Sus scrofa: one gene and its partner. Each later gene encodes a partner of the first gene's protein in a complex. Links are inferred from orthologs where the notes say so. Each region holds a gene or a part of one and is shown on either strand. Other genes may lie near its edges.

Evidence for each region.
Region 2: CDK2AP1 (region 1) and MTA1 share a complex: the UniProt entries of both Homo sapiens proteins name them as parts of the nucleosome remodeling and deacetylase (NuRD) repressor complex. The link is inferred for Sus scrofa from reciprocal best matches to the Homo sapiens genes CDK2AP1 and MTA1.

What each region holds. Positions count from the first base shown.
Region 1 is NC_010456.5:29,627,824-29,636,094, reverse strand, and holds the start of CDK2AP1 (cyclin-dependent kinase 2-associated protein 1), read right to left. Parts: upstream 5,012-8,271; 5' UTR 4,757-5,011; coding exon 4,702-4,756; intron 4,309-4,701; exon of another isoform or gene 4,199-4,308; intron 238-4,198; coding exon 140-237; intron 1-139. UniProt on the Homo sapiens protein: Inhibitor of cyclin-dependent kinase CDK2. Also acts as a component of the histone deacetylase NuRD complex which participates in the remodeling of chromatin.
Region 2 is NW_018084979.1:3,457,908-3,466,324, forward strand, and holds the start of MTA1 (metastasis-associated protein MTA1), read left to right. Parts: upstream 1-3,133; 5' UTR 3,134-3,213; coding exon 3,214-3,241; intron 3,242-8,417. UniProt on the Homo sapiens protein: Transcriptional coregulator which can act as both a transcriptional corepressor and coactivator. Acts as a component of the histone deacetylase NuRD complex which participates in the remodeling of chromatin.

The DNA of each region.
Region 1 (8,271 bases):
GTTCTGAAGCCCTAGCCTTGAGTTGAGGAGGCTCAGATGACCGCTCCATTCCTTCATCTCTACTCCTTCCACAGCTCCCCCTCAGGGCCCAGGCTGCCCTCAGAGCCCCTCCCCCTGGGCATCACCCCCCCTGCTGTACCTGGGTATAGCCTAGAGATGGTGGCCCATAGTCACTCAGCAGCTGGCGGTACTGTGAAGATGTCGCCATACTGGTGGAGGGCGGGTGGACACTCCCAGCTACGGGGAAGGAGACAGGAGTTAATAATCAAGTAGCCTTGGCTAACTGTACCAGAGGTGAGGACTCTCAGTCCTCCTGCTCAGGCCTCAAGCCATCAACAGTACTCTTTTATCTCCAAGGACAGAGAACCCTACTCTTGCTCCTGGTTTGGCCATGGCTGACAAGCAGCCTAGATGATTGATGGTAAAATATAGCTAATAGGCTCCTGATCTTCACATACGCCAACCACCACAGCAGACATTGCTAATCAAACACAGAAATCCTTCCCATCCATTCAGTCTAGATTGGTACCAAAGATGAAATCTGCTGCTGTTTCCTGCCTAACCCTTGCAAGTCCCCTTTCCCTGGGTCCTGCTCCCCAGAGGCTGATACCCTAGAGCCACAAGCCTGCCACAGGAGCCCACTTGCCACTAAGGCTGGCCTGCTCCTGGGCTAATACTTCCTCTGTGCCCTAACCTCTGCTGGACTATATCGTGAGGAAGATGGGGGACAGTCGAGAGGTTCTGAGACCCAACCCTAGCAGGGGACTGGTGTTCTAGATACAAAGTCAGGAATCTGGAGTACATCCCAGCCTGCATATCCTCAAACAAGTCCCTTACCTCTGAGCTCCTGTCGCCTCTCCCCAAAGAGGGGACAAGAGTCTTGACAGTCTGAGTCTATGCCCAGATGGCTTGCACCCCAAGAGAGGAGGGGTCAGACCCTACTGGGAGACACTGGCCCGCAGCAGAGGGGCCACGTGGGGCCAGGGCCAGGCCCAGAATGGAGTCTCCCAGATGGCAGTTGGGAGATGCTCAACAGGGAATTTTCCAGCTCCAGCTCAGTAGCTGGAAGCATGCAGACCCGTAATGGCGTCCGAGTGGCCATTAGCGGGTAAAGGATGTCCTGCAGAATTACAAACAGCGGTAACCATGGAGAATTTACCTAGCCCTCCTCAGCAGCTGCCCGCCTGCCTCCACGCCTGGCCGGGGAGCAGCTTCCCCTCTGCCTGCCGCCCCCAGAGCCAAACGGTCCCTCTCTCACGCACACAGCAGGCTCTGCAGACTTGGCCCCGGGGATGGACAGCTGGTGCCAGGCCGGCCAAACCGACCAGCTGCTCATCTGGTGTGGGCAAGGGGAGGGGCAGGGAGGAAGGAAGTCAGGAGCTCAGGCTGATAGAACTGGAAGGAGCCCTGGAGCCCCTCCCTGGAGAGAGAGCAACACAGACCAGAGAGGGTGGGCACTGCCCCAGGCCACACAGTGCAGAAGCGGCTACCTGTCCCTCTGTCCAGAAGCTGGGGACAGCCCCATACCCAATCTCAAGCCTGCCCTGGAATTTTTCCACTGGGGCCCGGATTTATGCTCAAGCACAAGATGTGCAGTCAGGAAACATGGATTCTGCCACCTCTAGGCTGCAGACTGGGCACAGCGCTGTGCTGCTCGGAGCCTCACTGCCACACCTCTAGAGCAGCGATGCTGAAACACCTGTGGTATGGAACTACAAGCACGTGAGCACATGTGGGACCTCTGTCTGAGGCAACTGTGAGTGTGCAGTGTCCAGAACACAAGAAGGTGTGGCAGGGCGGGTGTCCCCCACACCCCAGGTCTCCTCACCACATCAACCAAACCCCAATTTCCTGATCTTCTGATGTGGGTGGTGAGTGCGGTCTGGGTAGCTCAGGCTTCGCCATCCCAGGCCCAGGTTCAAGTCCTGGCCACTACAAGGTATTACACCATTCTGTAAGGCCAGGATGCTAAATGCCAAGACTGGGGGCGAGGGGTGGGGGGTGAACTGCACTGTTCAGCACTTTGAGGCATCTAGAAGATTCCAACTCCCTGGCAGGAGGTGAGCTGGACACCTGTCCTCCTCCTCTTATTGCTGTTTTGCATTTCTTGCCTCCCTGACCCCACCTTCTCTCCTACAGGCAAGGGCCTGGACTAGGAGCCAGTTCAGCTGTGTGACTTAAGGCAAGGCCCTTCCCTCTCTGGGCCTCAGTTTATCCGTCAGTTTGAGGCAATGGTTCCTAACAGAATGTCTAAAGGCTCTAGCTCCTACTCCTCCGCAATGCTGGGGTTAGGTCTTAGGGGAGCTCTGGGAAGAGGGAGGAAGGAGAGCCCCCACGTTTTGGTTAGGGGTGTGGAGGGAGGGGGAGATGGGAAACAGCCCAGGGCTTGACTTGCCCTGGGTGATGTGGTAGGGACCCCGAATCAGTGGCCTCACTTGCTGTTGGCGGGGAGGGTATCTGTGGCCCTAGGGAGAGTTTGCAGAAGGGCCCTGAGTTCCACTCATGCCCACTCCTTCCCGCAGATACAGGGAGGGCCAGCGGCTGCCGAAGGCCACGGAGAAAACCAGACTGGGCGTGAGCACGGCTGGCCGGCCGTCTCGGAGCATCGCAGACAATGTGCGCAGTGTGCGGGGGACCAGGGAGGGCCCAGAGCTGAGGGAGGGATTGGCAGAGGCCAGCAGCTCCTGGGGCCAGGCGCGGCTCCCCACCCCCACGCCAGACAAAGAGCAGCCTGGGCCTGGGGAGCTGGCGGCCTTCCCGCCACTTGGGGCGCCTGGGGGGGCTCTCTGGCGGGGAGGCAGGGGCTTTGTCTAACTCAGCCACTGCCACTGCCGGCCAGGCCGCGGCTTGGCAACTCGCGAGCAGGAGGCAGGGCTGGAGGGCGTGAGGGATGATGACAAGGAAGCCGGAGGAGCGGCAGCGGAGAGTCCATCTTGGATGCAAATGGCAGGGGGAGATCGGGCTTTCCAAAGGGGTCCACAGGGAGGGGAGCAGCCTGCCACAGATCTGGGGACCTCAGCACTCCTCCTGGAGTTCACCAGAGGAGAAAGAAGAAAATCTGTGCACAGGTGCTAGCCAGCCCAGAACAGGACTTCAGGGGTGCTGAGTGGCTGCCTCTGCCACCGTGACCCCAGTCCCCAAAGGTCCCAGTTTAGGGTCCCTGCCTCAGCTGTACCAGGGCAGGCCTGAGATATCCCACCTGTACAGGCAGCAGCAAGACCCTCCATCCTTACCACAGTCAGATGAAGGAGGCAGTGAGAAATACTACAGGCAGCAAAGCTTGTCTTTATAAGGTTTGCAGACCCCAGAAGAGGTGAGAACATTTGAAGAGAAAATAGTGGCTGTTTGCTCTTGAGGCTTAGAGCCCACATTTGACCAACTTAGCTATCCCCCACCCAATCACATCCTGAATCTTAACCCTTTCCACTCCCCAATCTGTGTCTAAGAAGTTAAAAAATAAATAAATATTTATTTATTTACATGCATTGCTTTTCTGGGTCCCCTATAGGATTTTTGGAGTTATGGAGTCAACCATTTGGAGACAAGGCTCAAAACTTTCGGACAACTGCCAGCGTGGCATTTCGGACCAGAGACGCCAGTCTCCTCCCCGCCAATCACACCCCCCCACGCCCCCACGCGCCTAGCTTTTTGGAAGTTTGTTTCCCACCAAGAGTCCAAAGGAGAAGGGCTATAGTGAAGGGAAAGAGCAAATCACCCCCGAACCCCACAATTTTACCCTCCCCTCCCCCCGGTGCCTTTCGTCCTTGGGAGGAGACCCTGGACACAGCCTAAAGCTGCCTGACAACTTCTGGAGGAGTTTCCTGGGACCGTCCAGTTCCAGCCCCAAGGAAGGGAGAGGACGGCCCCTAGGCTTCTGCGGGAGGGGACCTTCCAAACCCAGAGTTGGGGGCTCAAGATGCGGGGCCCCGAAATGCGGGCCCCAGGCCGAAATGCCGCCCCCACCCTCCGCCTGCAGGCACTCCGAAACCCCGGGTCTTCAACTTCGCTCATTCTGCCGCACACGCCTGAGGGGACCTTGCCGCGAGCCCCATTTTGGGCACCCCGCTCCCACGCGCCAGGCCGAGCCGCCACCGATGATGTCCCCTGCACCGCCGGTGACCCCAGCGGCCCCGGGCCCTCAGGGCGGGCTGCACTTGGCACGCTCGCCACCCCGCAGCGCTGCCGCGCGTGGCCTAACCTTGCTCACGTGCACGCAGCAGTCTCGGCCCCCGCCCGGGCTTGACCCCCGCTCCCCAAGGGCGGCCCGCGCCCCGCTCCCGGAGCCCCGCTCCCCGCGCGGCCCGGCCGCTCCCGACTCCCGCCGGCAGGGGCCCTCGCCGAGCCGCCCAAAAGCCGGAGGAAAACGGAGCCGAGAAAGCCTCCCCCGCCCTCGCTCGCCGCGCTCCCCGCGAGCCCTCAGCCGCCGGCGTGGGGGGGACCGCGGCGGCAGCCAGCGCCCCGGGCCCCGGCCCGGCCCGAGGCCCGGCGCGGCACAGGGCGCACCAGCGAACTTTGGCGGCGTGGGCGCCAGAATCATGGCGGCGGCGGCGGCGGCCCCGCTGCCCCGGGCCGGGACCCGGTGCCTGCCACCCCCGGCCGCCGCGGGTCCCCGGGAGCCGGGGCCGGGGCCGGGCGCGCGGGCCCTCAACTTGGCCGCACTTGGGGCGCGGCGCACGCGGCCCGCAGGGCGCACTCACTTACCGGCGTTGAGGGAGGCGGCGGGCATGTGCGCGGTCAAGTTCGGTTTGTAAGACATCCCCCCGAGCGGCGGGGCGCGCCGGGGCGCAGCGGGGCCAGGCCCGCGAGGGCGACGGCGGCGGCGAGGCCGGACGGCGGCGAGGCGGCCCCGGCGTCCGTGCGCCCGTCCGTGCGCCCGCCGAGCTCCCGCGCACTTTTTGTTGTTGACGGCTCGGGCCGCACCGGCAAATATGGCCGTCCCTCACCCTGACACCCGCTGCAGTATATCACCCATACATCGGGCGGGCGCGCGGGCGCAGGGGCGGCCGCAAACTTTGAGCGGAGCCAGCGGGGCCGGCCCGGGCCGGGAGGGGGCGGCCCGGCGCGCCGCGGCCCGGCGTCAGGGGGCGGCTCCGCCCGCTGCCGCGCCCCGCGCCTCCGGGCGCGCTCGGCGCCCGCAACTTGGCAAAGTTTGGGGGGCTGGGGTCCCGGCGGCGCCCGAGGCCCGCGTGGGTCCCTTTCTTCTTCTACGCAGGCGGCGCCTGAAGATTTGTTCTTTTACCGATTAATTTTTTTAATAGCTAGGTAGGATTGCAGAATTACTTTTTTCCCCCTGGACTGTGGGGGCAGGGATGGAAAATTACCTGGAGAAAATGGTGGCGAGTGGTATTTTTAAGCGCGTAGATCTTTCCAGACGCCAAGGTCTGGCTACACCCCAGAGTAAGAACAACCAATTTTTGACATTGATTTCAAATAAATTTCACGTCCCTGTCGGTATTAAGTGGTTTTAACCCTTTAGGGGCCTAGACACCTTTGAGACTGTACAAAAGCCAGCAGCCTCCTCCCCTGGAAAATACACCCGAACATTCACACAATTTTGCATCTTAACACATTCAGATACTTAAGAAGCGCCTACTGTGTGCGGTGCACTGTTCCAGGTGCTAAAGATACAGAATAAACTTGACAAAGTTTCTTCTCTCCTGGAGAATTTTTTTGCAATTTTTGACTCTCCTCTACCCCCACCCCAGCCCACTTCTCAGATCTGACTGAAACACAATCACCAAATGTATTTTGCATTAGGTGATGAAGCTTTTGAAGGTATTATTTCTTGGAGTTCTGCTTGAATAGTAAATCTTGTCAAAATACAAGAGATGCCCACCCTTTTCTGCCCTTTGTAATCGCCATGCTTTGCCGAATTTTTTTGATTAGCCACAGACATTCAGATACATCCGGATCTACTGAGGAAGGCATCAACCTTTTTGCCTGAAAGCAAAGGGACACCATCCATGCCTTCCCTCCATCCCTTTAGGAATGAAGGTACAGGTGACACTCCCTTCTCAGCACCCCTTGTGATAAGCTTTAGGCTGGTTCAGCCAAGAATGTTCAGTGATTCTGCTGTTAGGCACCGGGGACTATATCCAATCGCTTGTGATAGAACATAATGGAAGATAATGTGAGAAGTGTGTGTAAGTATATATATATATGTGTGTATGTATGTATATATGTATGAATGACTGAGCTCTTTGCTGTACAGCAGACATTGACAAGAACATTGTAAATCAACTATAATAAAAAAAAATTTTTTAGGTGTTCCCATCATGGCTCAGCGGCAACAAACCCGACTAGTATCTATAAGGATGCAGGTTCGATCCCTGGCCTTGCTCAGTGGGTTAAGGATCTAGCATTGCCGTGAGCTGTAGTGTAGGTCACAGACTCGGCTCAGATCCTGAGCTGCTGTGGCTATGGCATAGGCTGGCAGCTATAGCTCTGATTCAACCCCTTAGCCTGAAAATTTCTATATGCTACGGGTACAGCCCGAAAAAGACAAAGACAAAAAAAAAAAAAAAAAAAACACGTTTTTTTTTAAGAATGCTCAGTGAAATTTTTTTCACGAATAAATTAATATCACCCTTTTGCTACCCTGCCTCTAGAGGACCAGTACTCTAGAGTAGCATTGTCTAAAAGAAAAGTATTGCAGGCCACGCAAATAATTTAAAAGTTTTAGTAGTCACATTTTAGAAAGTAAGAACTGGTGAAATTAATCTCAATTATAACATAGTTTATTTAACATAATATACCCCAAAATGGTATGATTTTGATACATAATGAATATAAAGCAATTATTAAGATACTTTACATTCTTTTTTATGATACTAAACTCTTCAAAACCCAAACTGTATTTTACCCTTACAGCTCATCCTTATTCAGACTGGCCACAGGTCAAGTGCTCAGTAGCCATGATAGCTAGCGATTTTCCTGTTGAACCAGTGAAGGGCTAGAAACTACAAGAATTGGACTCATAAGGTATTCATTCTGGCTCCATCACCTGCCAGCTGTTTGACAAAACCTCCATTTCCTTGCAGCAAGAATCCAGATCTCTGTGGCCTGCCTCAGTCCCTTCTACAGATGCTGTGGGCTCTTTTCTTTCTATGTTGTGTTTTTAACATGCTGCCCACCATCCCCCTCACTAATCGTTATTGAAAAATATTTTTCCTTTTGTTTTTAATTGAGATCTAGTTTACTTAGTATAAAATTTATCCTTTTAAGTGGTTAAGGATTCGAGATGTTGATACTGCTATGGTGGGAGTTCAATCTCTGGCCCAGGAACTTCTGCATGCCACTGGTGCAGCCAAATAAAATAAAATAAAATATACAGTTCAGGGAGTTCCTGTTGTGGTTCAGTGGTCAACGAATCCTACCAGAAACCATGAAGTTGCAGGTTCAATCCCCGGCCTTGCTCAGTGGGTTAAGGATCTGACATTGCCATGAGCTGTGGTGTAGGTTGCAGATGTGGCTTGGAACCCACGTTGCTGTGACTGTGGCATAGACCAGCAGCTACAGGTCCAATTAGACCTCTAGCCTGGGAACCTCCATATGCTGTAGGTGCGGCCCTAGAAAAGACCAAAAAAAAAAAAAAATATATATATATATATATATATATATATATGCACACACACACACACACACACACACACACACACACACACACACACACACACACACTTCAACAGTTCAGTGAGTTTTGTGATCATCACCACCACTATCTAATTCTAGAACATTTTTGTCATCTGAAAAGGAAAATCTATACCTAACAGCAGTCACTCCCCATCCCCCACTACCCATAGCTTTAGGCAGCTGCTAGTCTACCTTCCATGCCTATGGATGTACCTATTCTGGACATTTCCTATGAATTAAATCATACAATATGTGTACAGCCTTTTTCACTTAGCATAGTGCTTTCAAGGTCCATTTATATTGCAACATGTATCAAGACTTTGTTCCTTTTCATGGCTGAGTATTTCCACTGTATGGATAGACCACATTTTGCTTATCCATTCATCAGCTTATGGATATTTGGTTTGTTTTCACTTTTTACTATTATGAATAGAGCTGCTATGAACATTTGTGTACAAATTTTTGTGAATATGTTTTCAATTCTTTGGGGTATATACCCAGGAGTGGAATTGTTGGGTTACATAGTAACTCTATGTTTGACTTTTTGAGGAATTGCCACTCTATTTTGCATAGTGACTGTACCATTTTACATTTCTACCAGCAATGTGTAAGGTTTTCAGTTTCTCCATATCCTCACCA
Region 2 (8,417 bases), on another chromosome or scaffold:
CACAGCCTCCCTGGAGCTGGGGCCCAAGGCTGGGCATCGTCCCCCGCTGGCCCTGGGGGGACGAGCAGGGAGGCCATGGCCCTCTCCAGTTGGGCCTGGTGTCCAGGGAGAGGTGATAGTGCCTGGAGACAGTTTTTTGTCCGCCAAGTGTGTGGGTTTCCTGCCACCACCCTAACAAGCTACCACGGAGTCAGTGCCTTCAGGCAGATCCCCGAAGGGGAGGGTCTGCTGAGGCTGAGGCGGCCTCACCGGGCTGTGCCGGGCGGCGGGGCTGCTGTCTTGCCTCGGGCGCCAGCCCCGCTGGGCTTCCAGAGCCCCCACCCCCGTTCTCCGCCTCCGCCTTCGGAGCCAGGGGCCCACAACTCTCTTCTGCCCTGTCCCCACGTCAGGGCCACAGGATGGCCTCAGGCCCGCTTGGTGATCAAGAGACTGTTCTAAGGTCGCTGGTCAGCCAGCTTCCCCACACTCTTGCCACCAGCTGAGCACAGTGACAGGTTTGGGGTGAAGACCTTTGAGGGGCGGCACCTGCCTTCCACTGGGGCGCCTGGCATCGGCTGGGTAAGAGTGCTGCTCAGTTCCCGCAGAGCCCAGGCCCCCAGCAACCAAGAGTTGCGGGGCCCCAGGGTCCCCAGTGCCCTGGCTGGGAGCCTGCATGAGAGGCGGGGCCCCAGGGCACACAGGTCGGGCAGCTCACACTGCTCAGGACAGGGTGCCCAGTCACCACAGAGAGGGGACACTGTAGTGTGACCACTGTGCATCCATTCTAAACTGTCCCAAGCAGGTAGGTCTCTCCCTAAAGTCTGGGAGGACCAGTATGACTCCCCAGACTCAAGGGACACCACTCGGGTGCCCCTGTGGCGGCAAGGACGGTCACCTGGGCTGGCTCGCGGGTCAGGTGGCTCAGAGCAGGAAGCAGAAGCCCCTCTGGATACGCCCGGCAGAAGGGAGAGCTGCCCTTGGCTCCCCTCGCAGGGCACGGCCCCCAGGGCTGGCCGGGCACCTGGGAGGTGTCACTGGAGCCCTCCCCAGGCCAGCATGCAGTTGCTGCCCAGCACTGACCGTTGACCACAATGACTTCGTTGGTCTTACAGAAGCCTTGCTCGCTGTTCAGCGACCCAACAAAGTTTTAAAAATCTCGCCAAGAATTTTATCCTCAAGACTGCTGTTAACAGGGTGAAGTTTGTTCGGATATTTCTAAAGGCCCAGGCAGACACAAGAGCATGTACAGAAATGCAGACTAAGTGTAGAATAGTCCTTTCAGATTTTAAAATGTAGAGAGAAGACATGATTGCTGAAATTAGATGAATGCTTCCTTCCTTCCTCTGAGTTTAAGAATCAAATTATTTTTGTTTTTTGTTTTTATTCAAAAATTTTTTTTGTCTCTTTAGGGCCGCACCCATGGCCTATGGAGGTTCCCAGGCTGGGGTCTAACTGGAGCTGTAGCCGCCGGCCTACATCACGGCCACAGCAAGGCCGGATCTGAGCTGCATCTGCGACCTACACCACAGCCCATGGCAACGCTGGCTCCTTGACCCACTGAGCGAGGCCAGGGATGGAACCCGTTCCACTGCGCCACGACAGGAACTCCTCACCCCTGTCCTTTTTGCCAAGTGACTTGTCCCAGAGCTGGTCTAGGGGCTGGGCCTTGTGTGCAGTCTCCTTTCTGTCCATCTTGGGAGAGGAACACAGGGCGAAAGCCAGCCGAGGAGCGGGCGCGGGCTTGGCGGCCTCTCCCAAGGGTTTATTAGAAGTCACGGTGCTTTGGGAGGGCGATTCCTCCTCCTTGGGGGAGTCGTGCAATTCCAATGGCTTCCGACTGCCACTCACCTGCCAGCACCCGCGCCGGGAGGAAAACGGCCCCCACCTTTCAGCTGCCTCTGCTCTCCAGGGGCTGTCTTATTTCCAGAAGGGAGGCAGGAGCAGGCACTTTACAGGCAGGACGTTGTGGGCACTCTCTGTGACCAGCAGCTGCCTGGGCATGTATTTATTGGGGGTTCTGATTAAGTTTTGGTCCACCTGTTAGGTAGTGCTGCAGCTTCGCCGTCCAGATGAGGAGATGCAGGCCCCGGAGGCAGGGACCAGGCCTGCGGGGAGCGAGGGAGACCATCGCACCTCGCGACACTTGGGGGACGGCCTACATGTCAGCAGCACCTAGCCCCTGCTCCTCTGCCTTTCCTGGCAGGCGGTCAGCCCTGGGGCCTCTGGAGCCCCAGCCCCTCCAGGTCCCACAGGGCTGGCTCCTCCTTTGCAGCCCCCTGGCAGTCAGGTTGATCCTGGACCCGGCCCCTTGCTTCTCTCCGTGCGGGGCTCCATCCCCTCCGCCCAGCAGCCTCCCCACCCGCCTCCCCGGGCAGCGTCCGGGCCGTCCTGGACCTCAGGCGCCCAGCTCACACGCGGGGCTGGGAGGACAGGCGGGAGCCTCGCTCGCTCCCGCGGCCCCCGCGCCTCCCTGCACCCCCTGGTCTGGGCTGTGCCTGCGGGGGGGGGCCCCCCCGGGGGCGGGGGGCGCCTTCCGGAGGGCGGCCTCCTCCGGGCACGCCCACCCCTCCTCCCTCGGGCACCGTCAGGGGGGCCGTGCCAGCTGAGAGGTGGGGGAAAGCGGCCCGCAACTGTGTGCCGGGGGCCGTGCGGGCGGGGCGCCGAGGGCCGGGGCCGGAGGGCCCGGGCCGCCCACGGAGCGGCGGGCGGCCGAGCGCCTGCGAACGCGCGGACTCGGAGGGCGCCCTCGGGCGGGAGGCTGCGCGGAAAGGGCCGGGCGGGGGGCGGGGGGGGGCCAGGGCGGACCCGGGGCGGAGGGCCGATGGGCCGCTGCGGCCCGGGGCCCGGGGTGCGGGCGGGGCGGGGCGGGGGCGCGGGAGGCGGCGGGGAGCGCGCGGCCGCGGGGCGGGTAACGGCCCGCGCGGTGGGCGGTGGCGCCCGAGGCCCCTCCCTCCCCGCGGCCGCTCCTCCTCTTCCTCTCCCGCCCGCGCCGCGGCCCTCGGTCCCTGCGCGGCCTCGGCGGCCTCGGCGGCCTCGGCGGCGGCGGCGGCGGCGGCGGCGGCGGCGGCGGCAGCGGCGGCGGCGGCGGCGGCGGCGGCAGCGCGGCCCCTTTAAACCGCCCGCCCGCCCGCGCCCCCGCGCCCCGCGCCCGCGCGCCTCCATTTTCCAGGCCGCCCGCGCCGAGCCCAGCGCCCAGCCCGGCCCAGCCCGCGGCCTCCGCCGCCGCCGCCGGACATGGCCGCCAACATGTACAGGGTCGGAGGTAAGGCCGCCGCCCGCCCGCCGCCGCCGCCGCGAGGCGCCGCGGGCCCCGGCCCCGCCACCCGCGTCCCCGCCGGGCCCCCCATCGCGCCGCCCCGCCGCGCCTCAGGCCCCGGTCGGCGCCCCGGGCCTCGCCGTCCGCCGCCCCCTTCCCCCCGCGCGCGCCCCCTCGGCACCCCCTGCCCGGGTCCCCCATCTTGTCCCGCCCCTCCCCCCGTTCCGCTTCCCCCCTCCCCCTCCGCCCGCCTCCCCATCGCCCCCCCATCGGCCCACTTCTGGTCCCCTCCCTCCACCTCTGCACCCCTCCCCCACTGCAGGCCGCCTGCCTGGGCCACCCTCCCTCCTGCCCGCGGCGCCCACTCCTCTGCTGCGCCCCCCCCCCCGCCCCTGTCTCCTTCCCCTTCCCGCTCCATCTTTTCTGAGCAGCCGGCTCCTCCACCACCACCTCTGCCCTGGCCGTGCTCGTCGCCACCCGACTTGGCCCCTTGGCCCGGCCCCTCCTGGAGCCGGTGGGGGGTAGTGGCTGGGCCGGCAGCGGCCAGGCGGGGGCTCTGCCCACCTGTTGGGGGCTGAGCGTGGGGCTGAGGAGCTCTGGGAGTCGCAGAGCATCCTTTGGGGCTGGGGCGCCTGGCGGGATCCCCCCAACTCGGGAGCAGGAGCACGTGGCATTGGGAGGTGCTGGCGGCTCCTGGGAGTGGGAGTTTGGGGCCCTTGTGGTGTGGAGAGCACCCCCGCGGCGGCGCCGAGGGCTGGTTCAGCTGCTGGGGGCGGGGGGCAGTGGTCCCCTCGGGGGGTGGGGAGCTGTATGTGGCGGCCGCGTTCCCGCCGCGAGCCTGCGGTCACCTGGGAGCTGCCCTCTGGGCCGGCGTGGGCCTGGGGGCTTCCCCGGCAGGATTCCCTCTCCAGGTCCTCAGCGGCCTGTGCTCCCCCCAGCGTGCTGCTGGCACCCTGATCTTTTCTCTGCTGTCTCCTGTTTCTGCGGCCCAGCAGGGAGGTGCTTTGCATTTGGGAAAGAGGCAGGTGGCCCCCTGGTTAGGGGGTGCAGAGCTAGCTGAGATCCGGGGTGGGGGCTTCCTTCCTGGGGCTGTTGCTTCTCCCACTCAAGCCCCAGGAAGCCTCCAGCTTTGGGCTTTGCCCCACTTTGTGGGGAGGGGGCTCTAGGAGGCTCGTGCTACGGGTCCCCACGGGGTCCCGAGCTGGCCTCATCTGGTCCTTCACAGGTGGTGAGATGCCCACCCTCTCGGAGACTTTGAGCCGCCCACTTGCCCCCCTTTGGTCAGGGCTGAGGACAGCTCTGGCCTGGCTTTCCAAGTCACCTGTGTCTTCAGTCTACCCTCTCTCGCTGGCCGGCTGACCCCCGAGTGCCAGGCCAACCTTGTGACCTTGGGCGCACCCGCCCCGCTGTCCAGCCCTCCCTCCTCTCTGGCTCAGAGGTGTCACGGAAATGGGGGCCCTTACCCCATTCGGCAGCAGGCCCCTGGTGGACACGGCGGTGGCGGGGGGAGAGCAGGCTAGGGGGCGGGGGCCTTCAGAGAGGGGCCTGTTGGTTTCCCAACTTCTCCAGTCCGGGGGGGAGCCGATCTGTGGAGGGAGGCCCCCGGGGTCTCTCAATACACTGCCAGGCTGGGTGGCCCCCCGTGGAACCCCACGGACGGAGTCGCTTTCTCCGTCCGTTGGCCCCTAGCCCAGCTGCTGCAGCCCAGGGCTCCTGCCCGCCTCGCAGCTGCCCCCTTTCAGTGCCACCCCCTCGCCCTCCTGGAACGCCTTTCCTCAGCGCAGACCCCCTCCTGCCCAGCCCAAGGCCCTCCTCTGGTCTGGCCGTCCCCCCGCCCACTCGGTGCCCCTTGGCTTTCCCCACGCAGAGCCTCTCTGCAGGTGTGGGCTCACCTCCCACCCCAGGCTGTGGCCCTGAAGTCTTGCTCAGCGTGTTCAGTAAATGGAGTGTTCCCAGGGCAGGGGCGCCCAGCTCCCGGCCGGCCGCAGACACCGAGGCTGGAGAGGGAGGCTTGGGTGTCACCCAGAGGCCCTCCGTGGCCTCCTCTGCCTCTCCCTCCCAGGCCCCCCGCCCCGTGCCTGCTTGTCGCGACTGGTTCCAAGGGCCGGGGTGCCCCTGGACTTGGACTTCTGTCACCCTCCTCTTGGCAACCCCCCTCCCTTGGTGTAAACAGGGGTCCTGTGGTGTAGCCCATGGGTGGGGCTGCTTCCACTTGGACCCCTTCGGTCCCTGCAGGGAAGCCTCGTTTGCCCCTGTCCACTGGGCCGTGGGCTCGGCCGGCCTGGTGCGGGCCGGCTGGGCTGCTGTCCCGAGGTGCTGCTGCTGCGCGGGGGTCCGTGTCTGGGTGTCTCAGGGTCCAGATGGAGGCGTCCTGCCCTGGCCGGGGGCCTGCCCCCGCCCGCCTCCGGGGTCTCCTCCACTAAAGACCCGGAGAGCAGAGCCTTTGCCGAAGGTGCCGGCTTCAGCAGGGAGAAGCACAGGACGCCTGTTAAATTTGAATTTCAGATAAACAGTTTCTTAGCATACGTGTGTCCCGAATACTGTGTGGGCCACACTTACATGAGAAGTTGCTCGCAGAGTCCCGCGTCACTTGGGAGTCCTGCGTGTCCCACCTGGCAGGCTGTCCCAAGGCCCTGCCAGGAGTCGGGCGGGGTGAAGGCCTGGCTGCAGCTTTGGGCCAGCTGACCGCCTGGGCCGATTGGGTCGGCCTGGGAGGGGCAGGGCCTGCTTCGTCCCTGGGAAGTGACCTGGCCTGGACAGAGGCCTTCTGTCGGCAGTGGCAGCTGTGGCCGCAAGGGTGGCAGGCGAGGTCTCGGTGTGTACGGCGGGGTCAGCCACGGCCCGGCTCCTCTGGGGTCCGTGCCCTGAGGGCAGGGGGGCCTCGAGCAGGCGTCCAGAACCAGCCATGGGCTGAGGGCCCCACAGACAGCTCTTCTCTCTGGACGGTTCATGCAGAAACCTGGTCTGCTGTGTCTCAGGACAGAAAGGCGAAAGCCAGCAGCCCGGAGCCTCCTGACAACACAGCCACTGTTTGGGGAGGTGTGGTTTTTGTGTTTTTTGCGTTTTTTCTTAGGGCGGTGTGTGCGGCATATGAAAGTTCCCAGGCTAGGGGTCGAATCGGAGCTCCAGCCGCCAGCCTACACCACAGCCACAGCCACGCCGCCAGATCCGGGCCACATCTGCGACCTCCACCACAGCTCCCGGCGACGCCGGGTCCTCAACCTGCTGAGCTGGCCCAGGAATCGAACCAGCATCCTCGGGGTACTAGTTGGGTTTGTTACTGCTGCGCCACAGCGGGAACCCCTGGGCGGGTGTGTTTTAATTGGCGGTCGGTAGCTGCACCCATGTCAGGGTTTCTGTTTTCCCTTCTTTGGGAGAAGGCAGCGTCCCCTCTTTCCGGTAGTTTGATTTTTAAAGATACACTTGGGAGAGGTAACGGGCCCGCCCCTCACCCTGCAGGCAGCTTGAAGTGTCCCTGTGGCCAGAAATGCATCTTTGGTTTTTGGGTAAACTTTTGAACAGGTGCGGCCTTCACACATGACAGTTCCGCACTTGGGCAGGGCCAGCCGGGCTGCGCCGGGGACCCAGGCGAGGCGGGGGTCCCGGCATGGGCCTTGGGCTGCGAGGGGCCGGGCTGGGCCGGGGCCTTCCGTGGTGCCTCCCGGGGGAAACGGGGCCGTTAAAAACTCGGGCTGATGAGAAGAGGAGCCGTGGTTCAGGGAGGTCGGCGTAGACGGTCCCAAGAAGCACGTCCTTCAGGCCCGAGGTCCCCTTGGCCCTGCACCCCTGCTGTCTGCAGTGACCTGCCCATGCGGCCGGCTGGACACACCTGCTCCCCAGCTTGCCTGCCCAGGAACTTGCGATCCTGCGCTGTCCCATGCTGCCCCGGCTCCGGCTGTCCCTGGGCCCCCGCGTCTCTGCCCCCCAGGCCCGCCTGTCCTCAGGGAGCAGCTGGGCCATGTCTGAGGGCCTGGCGTCCTGGGGCTCCCGGGCCCCGCGTGGACAGGCGAGGCTGCCGGTGCCGTCCCCAGGGCCACCCGTGTCCTGCGGCGTCTGGGGAGAGCCCGGGAGGCACCCTTGGCCCCCGCACCCTCTGCCTGGCGCCACGTCACAGCCACGGGGCTGCTCCCTCCCCCCCCGTACCCCAGGTTTCTTGGGGCCTCCGTGCTCCTCGTCCGTGGGACGTGGATGGGTGCCTTCTCGCAGGGACGCTGGGCCCTGCGGCCCCTCCCTGGCCCTTTTCCAGCCGCGGTCCGTGTCCAGCCTTGGAGGTGGCGCTTCTGAGGAGCAGGTCTGGTGGCCCCCCCTGGAAACCGCCCCTTGGCTCCCGCAGTGGAAAGTTAAGTCTGAACGCCCTAGAGGCCGGGCAGCTGGGCCCTGCCCCCGGTGCCGCTGGGCTCTGCTGGGTGACGAGTGTGACAGTGACACCTTGAGGTGCGGGCTGCTTGTCTCAAGGGGAGGGCGGGGCTCCCCTGGGCTTGAGAGGGCAGCCTCAGCTCAAAGGCCGGGCCCAGGGGGTTGTCGGCATTCTAGGCCAAGGGCCCTGGGAGGGCCTTCTCTGGGGTCTGCTTGGAGATGATGCTGTCCCCTCATCCAGTGTCCAGAGGGATGGGGACACCTGCCGCGCTCAGGTGTGGCGCCTGGCGGTCCTCAGCCCCCGCCCTGTGCTCCAGCCCTCGAGGGAGGCCAGGCCCCTTGGTTACTGGCCACTTCCCCCTCTAGGCAGGTCCCATCTCATTCCTGAACTTTTGCGGGGACTGCACATGGCCGTCACTGGCTGTCCTTGCAGGGCCATCACTGTATGCGGGGGCCCACCGGGGTCCCTTCGTGCTGCAGCCTGCGGGGGCGCGTGGCTGGGAGGCCTGGCTGGGAGATGGAGCTGCCGGGCGGGGTGGATGCGGTGGTCCTCCAGAGTCCCGGGTCCGGGTTCCCCAGACGCCCTACCCTCGCAGGGAGCGGCTCCTGGGCTGTGCTGAGTTCCTCCCAGTCCATCCCCAGGCTTGGCTTGCCCACGCCTGGGGTCTCTGCTCCGCCGTTCCCGCTGCAAGGAGCCCGGAGGGCCCGGGGCTTCGGGGTCCCGCCCGGAGAGCTGGTGCACGTCAGCTGTGGAGGGAGGCTCCGGGGCCTGGCCGTGCATGTGTGCGTCACCCCACGTGGCCTGGCCCTCCAGGGTGGTCCCCGC